Caenorhabditis elegans: one gene and its partner. The protein of the gene in region 1 interacts with the protein of each later gene in a pairwise test. Each region holds a gene or a part of one and is shown on either strand. Other genes may lie near its edges.

Region 1 (3,931 bases):
ACCTTCTGTTGTCCACCTTTGACAAGGATGCTTCCACTGCATTCATTTTCAGATTCAGCAAATAAATGTGAATCTGGAAAAAAGACAATGAATCAAAAGCAAATTGTCTAAACCGTTCTATGGTGAAAAAAAGAACTGACCATCAATAACAATATCAGCATCTTGCTCATTTCCAACAGTCTGCTTTGCTCCTAGGTTTGGCTCACAGTGAGATGATGTTTCCGAGGCTTCTTGAACATCAGTCTCAATAAACGATGGTTCAATTTCAGCTAAACTAGACATGAGACTTTCTGTAACCATTGACATTTCCGAAAGATTCTCATCGGAAGTGGCTTCCAAAATATTAGAATCTCCAAGTTGGGCTTGGATAATCTAAAAAATCACGTCTCTGCATCAAAAAGTGAAAATGAATAACGAACATCTTGAATTTTCCCAAAAAAATCATTCGAAATACCGTGAAGATCCATTCCAGAGTCTTGCGGAGAAATGGCATCACATGCACCAGCATCCGTTCTATCTTCATCAAGATTTCTGCATCCAGCAATCTAAATTTAAACTCAGAAATGTATTTATAATTTAAAATATTGTGAATACCTGTTTCAAAACCCGTTCATTAATTTGATCACATTCCGAGTGTGAAGAGTTTGGAGCATTTGCAATATTCGAATCATCAGATCCAGTTGATTTACGATTCGATGGTTGAGTACTGTCAGTGTGGACATTTGGAGATGGTGCCATGGTTCTGAAGTTGAGAATTTCAAGGATTATTTGAAACTAAAACATATTAAAATATACAATACATAAAGCCTGTTGAAAAAGACAAACTTACGGTCGAATATTAAAATTGGAAGAAGCATCAAATTGAACTTCATCAAGTGTCATTGTCTGTGGACTCTTTTTAGTTTCTTTTTTAATTTTTTCCTTTCCACTTTCTTTCACTTTTTTGTCTTTTTCTAAACTTCCATTTATCTTTTTTCCTTTCTCTCCAATACAATGATCTCTATCCAATAAAATATCTTCTTCCGAATTCAAATTCGGCACGGCTACAGTACCCTCTGGAATAGTTTTTGGAATAACTGGTCGAATGAACACACAATTGACTGGCTCATTCATCGGAACTTTTTGACGAATCACATCCGGAGTTTTTGGAGTTTGAGGCGAAGATTTCTTGGATCCCATGTTTGTTGGTGATAGACATCTTGGAGTGGATACAGTACTCTGTTGCGGATCTTGGAGCATTGAAAGCATGAGTTTTCGAATTGAACGGTATCCAGCTTCAAGTGTGTAATAGAGACTCATAACTACAATGAGAACTGCAATTATTCTGAAAATTTTCAAGAATGGATAATTGATTGATCATGTAATAACTCACATTCCAACCATCGAATACCATGGTCGCTCCTCACTTCGCTCATACACGACAATGTGCGGAGCATCAGCAAAATGAAACATTTCAGAAATTCTGTAAAGATTCAAAATACGGATCAGTTCTCAAAAAGCAATTCAAAATAATACAGAGATATTACAGAAATTTTCGGATTTTCCACAAAAGTACGGTAGCCGGTCTCGACGCGACAAAATTTTGCTAACAACAGTAAGTTCAAGAGGAGTGTGCCTTTAAAGATAAGAGTACTGTAATTATTCGTCTAATTGCATATGAAAAATTAATAAAAGACGCAGCAACGAAGATCGGAAATTACAGTAATCTTTAAAGGTGCACATTATTTTGCCTCAAACATAAATGTGGTCGTGTCGAGACCGAGTACCGTTTTTGTGGAATGATATTTGCAAAATTTGGCATCTAGGTAATATTTTAATCGCAGATCACGAAAACTGACCTAGTTTTGAATGTTTTCTTCGCATAAGTGCATCCGAGAATCCACTGGAAAACCTTTTTAACTTCAGCTAAACCAAACCCAGAACTTCCGGATTCTTCGCTCTTTTCATTACCTGAACATTTACAAATGATTAAATCAAACTGGCAGCTTTCTGAAATGCTCACCAAACATGATATCGACCGTTTCTTTTTATTGGAAATGATGAGGAAAATGAGTACAACAAACCAGCGGATAAAATGTGAGAAATAAATGAATTCTATGAAAAATTGAACAATCTATGAAAAAAGCAAACATGATTAAAACCCGTGATTGAATAGGGGGAATTATAGGTTACTGGGTTACGTACATCTATATATATAATTTGAGCGTTACGAATTTTGGCACAAAATACATGAAAAATGATGAAAATTGCAAGAAAACAAAAATACAAATAGGAGAAGTGCAAGAAAATTTCGGATACATTTGTTTTATTTCGGATCAAAATGGAACATCCGTTTCCACTGAGCCATTTGAATCGGGATCATTGCTAACACATCACTAGATTCTAGGTCCGACGGATCTACGTAGCTATAGTTCTGAAAATATTGATTTTTGATCGGTCAGTTTGAAAAAGAGAGTTACCTGTCGCACGAGAAGCCGTCCGTCGGAATGTTTCAATGTCAGTTTCTCAAGATTTCGCATCGGACTGTGATCTCGATCCTAAAAATTAGTTGTTAGGATGTTTCCCAGATTAAAAAAAAGTATCTAACCTGTCCCATTCCAACTCCGATAATACTCATTGGATGAGGCGATGCATCAACTATTGCATCAATTGATCTTTTCATGTTAAGTGCATTGGCAGGGCCACCATCTGAATAGATGATTAGAACGAAGTAGAGACCAACATGACGACGAGATTCAGCTTTTGCGAATCTGAATACAAATTTTACATATCAACTGAAATCTCGCATAACTTACTTTGACATAAAATAAATAACTTCTGAAAAATCTGTTGGTGCAAATGGTTGAAGACCCATAACTGCAGTTCTATAAGCACTTAGCAGTCCTCCCAAACCTTCTACACGTGGATCAGTTGGAGTTCCATTCTGTAAAACATTTAATATATGGATTATTGCTTCAACAAATACTTACTAAACAAAAACAGTGTGATAACTGAAGAGCACCTCCAGGAACTTGAACTTTTGCACCGAACCCAAGAGCTCCAATATGAGGATTCTGAGGATTTGGAAGATAAGCAAGAAGTGGGGGAACTGTTTGAAGAAGTGCTTCGAGATATGGAGATGGTTGATGAGGATGGATGTAATGAAGAGAAGATTGGTTTACAGGATTTCCATTTGATGCAGTCAAATCGATGGCAGACGTTAATTGAATCTTCACACTGAAAATTAAATACTTATTACAACGAAAAAAAAAGTTTGAAAATACATTAATTGGTTTTTTGTACATTTTATTTGTTCAGCTTAAGTATGTCAATTTTATAAATATAAAATTGAATATAAAGCAAAGTGTAAATTTTCAAAGTGTAATTGTAAATTTAAGCATGAAAACTATTGTTATGAACCGGAAAGTGTTCCATTCCAAAACCAGTTTTTCTTACTTATTTTCCATCATTTGAAAAAATGTCGGACCATTTTCCAAGCTCAATTCTTTCAATTCGATGCAAGTCTTTTCATGAATTCGTTTCCCATTAGGCTCCATCAGCTGAAAAACTGTTAATTAATAAATATATTTTAAACAAAAAATCATACCATGTAAGAATTAAAATGCCCAACACCTTGTTGTAGTTGTGTGAGAGTAGTTGTACAGTGTCCAACGAGTTGATCATCATGATTTGGTGTGTAATTATATACATGAAGTTGAATCGATGATTCATTAAAATAATTAAGCAGAAACAGAGGAATACTAAATGCCGCCCATTCTGGATATTTTGTTTCTCTCAACATTTCCGATTTGTACAACATAATTGTCCGTTCTTCAGTGGGAATTGAGAGAATGTAATACAGTTGAAGTGGAATAACATCCGAAGGACTGTGCAAATAATTTCCAGAAAACCTAATGCGGAGAAACTGGGAATAATAATCTGGAACTTTTCC
Region 2 (3,931 bases), on another chromosome or scaffold:
CGGTATTTCTCATAGAAAATAGAAAAAGTTGTTCGGTTGTTTTTTTTTGGAAATAAAATTTTATTCAAAAAAAATACGAGGAAAGTATGTATAGATTTATCTCTCAAATCAGAGAAATGACATTATTCATAAAAATGAAATGTTTTCCAAAAGATCGAAAAACAAAATGTTCGATTTTTTAAAATAAAATTACATCCTTTCTGCTGATACCATTATTAACCTAAATTAAATATATTCAACTTTTCAGAGTCTCCTTCAACTTAAACACTCCTCTGACTGCATCGAAAAAGATGTATTTCATTCGTACAAAAACTGGTGTTACCCATCAGCTACATCAACCTCCACAATAATCCCAGCTCATACATCTGTACCTCAATTCACTTTAGTTATTTGTCACTAGTTGGTATTTTCATTGTTTTGTTTTTGTTATGCTACTTGTTTCGATATATCCGCATGTTGTTTCAAATTGACTATGCTAACGTTTTCTTTTCTCATCGACCAGTTTACTTCCCTGTTCTGTTTAATAGTTCTCAATCATGTTATTTTTCTCAATTTTTCTGAAGAGTATCTTATCATTTCTTTTTTTCTGTATTCCCAACTCACCTTGACATTTCTGAATTGTTGACCCAGCAAGAAACTTTGCATACCCTCTGACTGGTATTTCATATTTTTGGGAGAAAAAAAACGTTTCGAAAATTTGTGAATTATTATGTGAAAAAAAAAAAAAAAAAATTATCCTATCGCGTTTTCCTTTCTGCATCTAAGTCTCCAATGAGTCAGCACAAACACATTGCGAAACATTTTCTGTCTCTTTGGTATAAATAGAGAGTTTCCTCTCTTTGAAATGATTTGAAGGTTTTACTGATATCAACGTTATGAAATTTAGTCATCTCGTCGCGTTTCTTTTCGAAAAGTTTTGAATATTCAACTTTACGTTTTTTAGTTTTGGAAATTTCAGTGTGTTATTTCAGTTTATATAATGTTTCTGAATTTATTACAACACAAAATTATGAAAATGCGTAATGCGCTATCTGACTATCTGACGCGCAAAATATCTCGTAGCGAAGGCTACAGTAACTCTTTAAATAACTACAGTAGCTGTGGTGTCGGTTTACGGGCTCGACTTTTGAAACGTATTTATTCTCGAATAGTGATAAATAGCGATACTCTATTTTTCTTCGTTTCTTCGTATTATTTTCTCATTTTTGCTTAATATGATAAATTATATCTACATGATAAGTCAAAATGATCCCGTAAATCGACACAGGCGCTACAGTAGTCCTTTAAAGAATTACTGTAGTTTTCACTACGAGATATATTGCGCGTCAAATATGACATTAATAATATTTACAAAATACAGATGTTTTTTAAAAATATCTTTGTCTTTAGACAACTACTGCTATAATCTCTCATGCGTATATCGTATATTCGTTGAAATTTTAAAATTCAGTTTAAAGGCGCACACTATTTTTCTGTGTAGGTCTCGCCACGATCTCAGCTATAGTGATCGCTACAAGCTTCAAATTTCATGCATTGGTTCATTTAATGTAGAAATGTACGACCAGTTAGAAAAATACCAAACCAATATGTTGAATAAATTAACTTCAAGCCAGATTTTCTACAGTAAACATTAAGATTGTATCACCGTCCGTAAATCTATATATTCTTAGAAATGCAGCGATATTAATGATTAACAACAATTCGTGATATATACTTTCGTTATTTTAGAATTCCTAATATTTGAAAATACACACCTCTTAAAAAGAGTCATTTTCAGAAATGACCACCAACCCATCTGTCCACGAGTTCGAGACTCGTGATCTTAAAATTGCCGAGGTGAAAGTATTCACTGATAGAGCTGAAATCCGTCGTCTTGTCAAAGTTTCATTGAAATCTGGTGTCAATGAAGTTGTTCTCAAGGTTTGTAGAATATGAACAAGTTTTTCAAGTAGTTTTGAATTTAGAACCTCTGCAAAACAATGGCTCAAGGATCAATTAGAGTTGAAGGAAGAGGAAATGCAATCATTCATGATGTAGTTATTAAGAATGTTTCTCGTTTGCCAACTGAAGCTGATCCTCCAAAGGTTGGCAAGATAATTAAAATTCGAAAATATATTCTTTTTTTTAAGATCACCAATCTCAAAGCTGCCATTCTAGAGGAGAAAAATCGCCTCCAAAAAATCACAGATCGCGGAACGGTTGTCCAAAAATGCGTTGACAATTTGGACAAAGTTTTCGAACAAGTTGGTGGGGGTCTCGTGAATCCACCAAAAGATGGTGTTGCTTCTTTAAATGAAGGAACTTTGGAAAGTCTTACAAATTTCTTCCAATTCTATGGGAGCAACTCCGAATTATACAGAGAAAGTGAGTTTAAACGATAAATTTGAGATTTTAAAAAACTTAATTTTTTTTTCTAGAACTACGATCAGTTGAAGCTGGACACCGTGAGCAACAGGAAAAAGTTTCGAAACTGGAAAACGAGTTACGAGCTCTAATGCACAATTTGAATGAAGAAGCGTTCTCTCAGTGAGTTTTTGAAAAGTTTAAGGTGGAATTGTGCCAGTCGGGGAATTTACCAAAATATACTAAAAATGGGGCAAAAACAACTTTATATGTCTTTTCAAATCTTTCTTAATCTTAACTCAAACTTTTGGCAACATACCAAATTTTGAATCATTTAAAAAATTTGAAAAACTATCAAAAAACCCATAAAAATTTGAGGCGCACAATGAGCTATGCTTTGCTTTCTATGCACTATTTATTTTCAAATACAAATGGGATTACAGATAGATTTGAAGATATGCAAAAAAGCATCCAACCCTAATAAAAATTCGAAATATTATAAAGAAAAGTTCCATATGATTTTCCATCTATTTCTAGAAACAATTTATTTTTTGAGTCTTATTGTTTGACATTGTTAAGCTGTAGTATTTAAGATCACTGTTTGCCTATCTTCCCAACAAATTGATAACTTAATTTTAGCACTGCCACAATTACTTTGGAATGCACAGAAGACCTGGAAGCTGAGCTGAATGTAGTCTATCAAGTGTTAGATGCTTCGTGGCATCCATCATACGATATCCGAGTTGACACAGAGAAACCATCCATGAGCATTACATACTTTGGAAAAATCCGTCAATTCACAAAGGAAGATTGGACTTCTGCACCACTTGTTTTGTCAACTGCTCAGCCATGTCTTGCTGGCAGAATTCCAGATCTTGGAACTCTCGAAGCAACCTTCCGTCGTCCTGAAGTTCAACATTATCAAACAAGATCGATGAATGCATCAGCCTCATTATTTGGGGCGCGGGGACCGCAGAACCGTCGAGCCGAAACACTCGGATTTTCAGATGAAGTGACTTTGGCTCCACCAATGGCTGTCGCTGTTGCTTCAGAAATCACCCAAAACACGTTGAGCACAGAATTTAAAATTCTCAGAGAAGCAACAATTCCACACGGTACTGATGAACACAAAGTTACTATTGGAGTTGTGACTCTTACACCAAAACTTGTTCATGAATCCGTTCCAAGTAAGAATGCTGCAGCTTTTCTCACGGCTTCTGCTGTTAATACTTCTCAACTTGCACTCCTGGCTGGATTTTCATCTGTCTATCTGAATAATGCATTTGTCGCAACAGTAAGATTTTTTTGTTGAGAAAATTGATTTAAAACAAATTAAGTTGCTGAAATAACCAAATTTTAATAGTAAGAATTCTTCTATCGATTCAATCTTGTTTCACTCTGAACATACAAGAATGATCTGAATCTTTCAACAAAAAAAAAGAAAATTTCAAAACTTGGAAATTTGTCAAAACTCAACTAGAAGTCATTAAACCTCTAAAACATTGTATAATGAATGATATATGAAAATATTTAGTCTCATTGAATCAGTTTGAGTATATTTTAATAAAATCCAACTTTTAGAGTCACC

Evidence for each region.
Region 2: the proteins of gldi-10 (region 1) and ZK1055.7 interact in a two-hybrid assay, tested with the Caenorhabditis elegans proteins (one large-scale study listed by BioGRID).

The regions. Positions count from the first base shown.
Region 1 is NC_003282.8:9,097,449-9,101,379, reverse strand, and holds the start of gldi-10 (AMP-activated protein kinase glycogen-binding domain-containing protein), read right to left. Parts: upstream 2,139-3,931; 5' UTR 2,010-2,138; coding exon 2,003-2,009; intron 1,951-2,002; coding exon 1,839-1,950; intron 1,463-1,838; coding exon 1,373-1,462; intron 1,325-1,372; coding exon 830-1,324; intron 743-829; coding exon 595-742; intron 546-594; coding exon 420-545; intron 373-419; coding exon 141-372; intron 74-140; coding exon 1-73. Other genes in the region: cpna-3 (VWFA domain-containing protein), read right to left, coding at 2,306-2,413, 2,460-2,537, 2,588-2,750, 2,796-2,923, 2,970-3,216, 3,436-3,539, 3,587-3,931.
Region 2 is NC_003283.11:6,603,222-6,607,152, reverse strand, and holds the start of ZK1055.7 (Protein F37C4.5), read left to right. Parts: upstream 1-1,777; 5' UTR 1,778-1,779; coding exon 1,780-1,920; intron 1,921-1,964; coding exon 1,965-2,084; intron 2,085-2,129; coding exon 2,130-2,364; intron 2,365-2,417; coding exon 2,418-2,526; intron 2,527-2,982; coding exon 2,983-3,637; intron 3,638-3,924; coding exon 3,925-3,931. Other genes in the region: gon-14 (HAT C-terminal dimerization domain-containing protein), read left to right, coding at 248-350.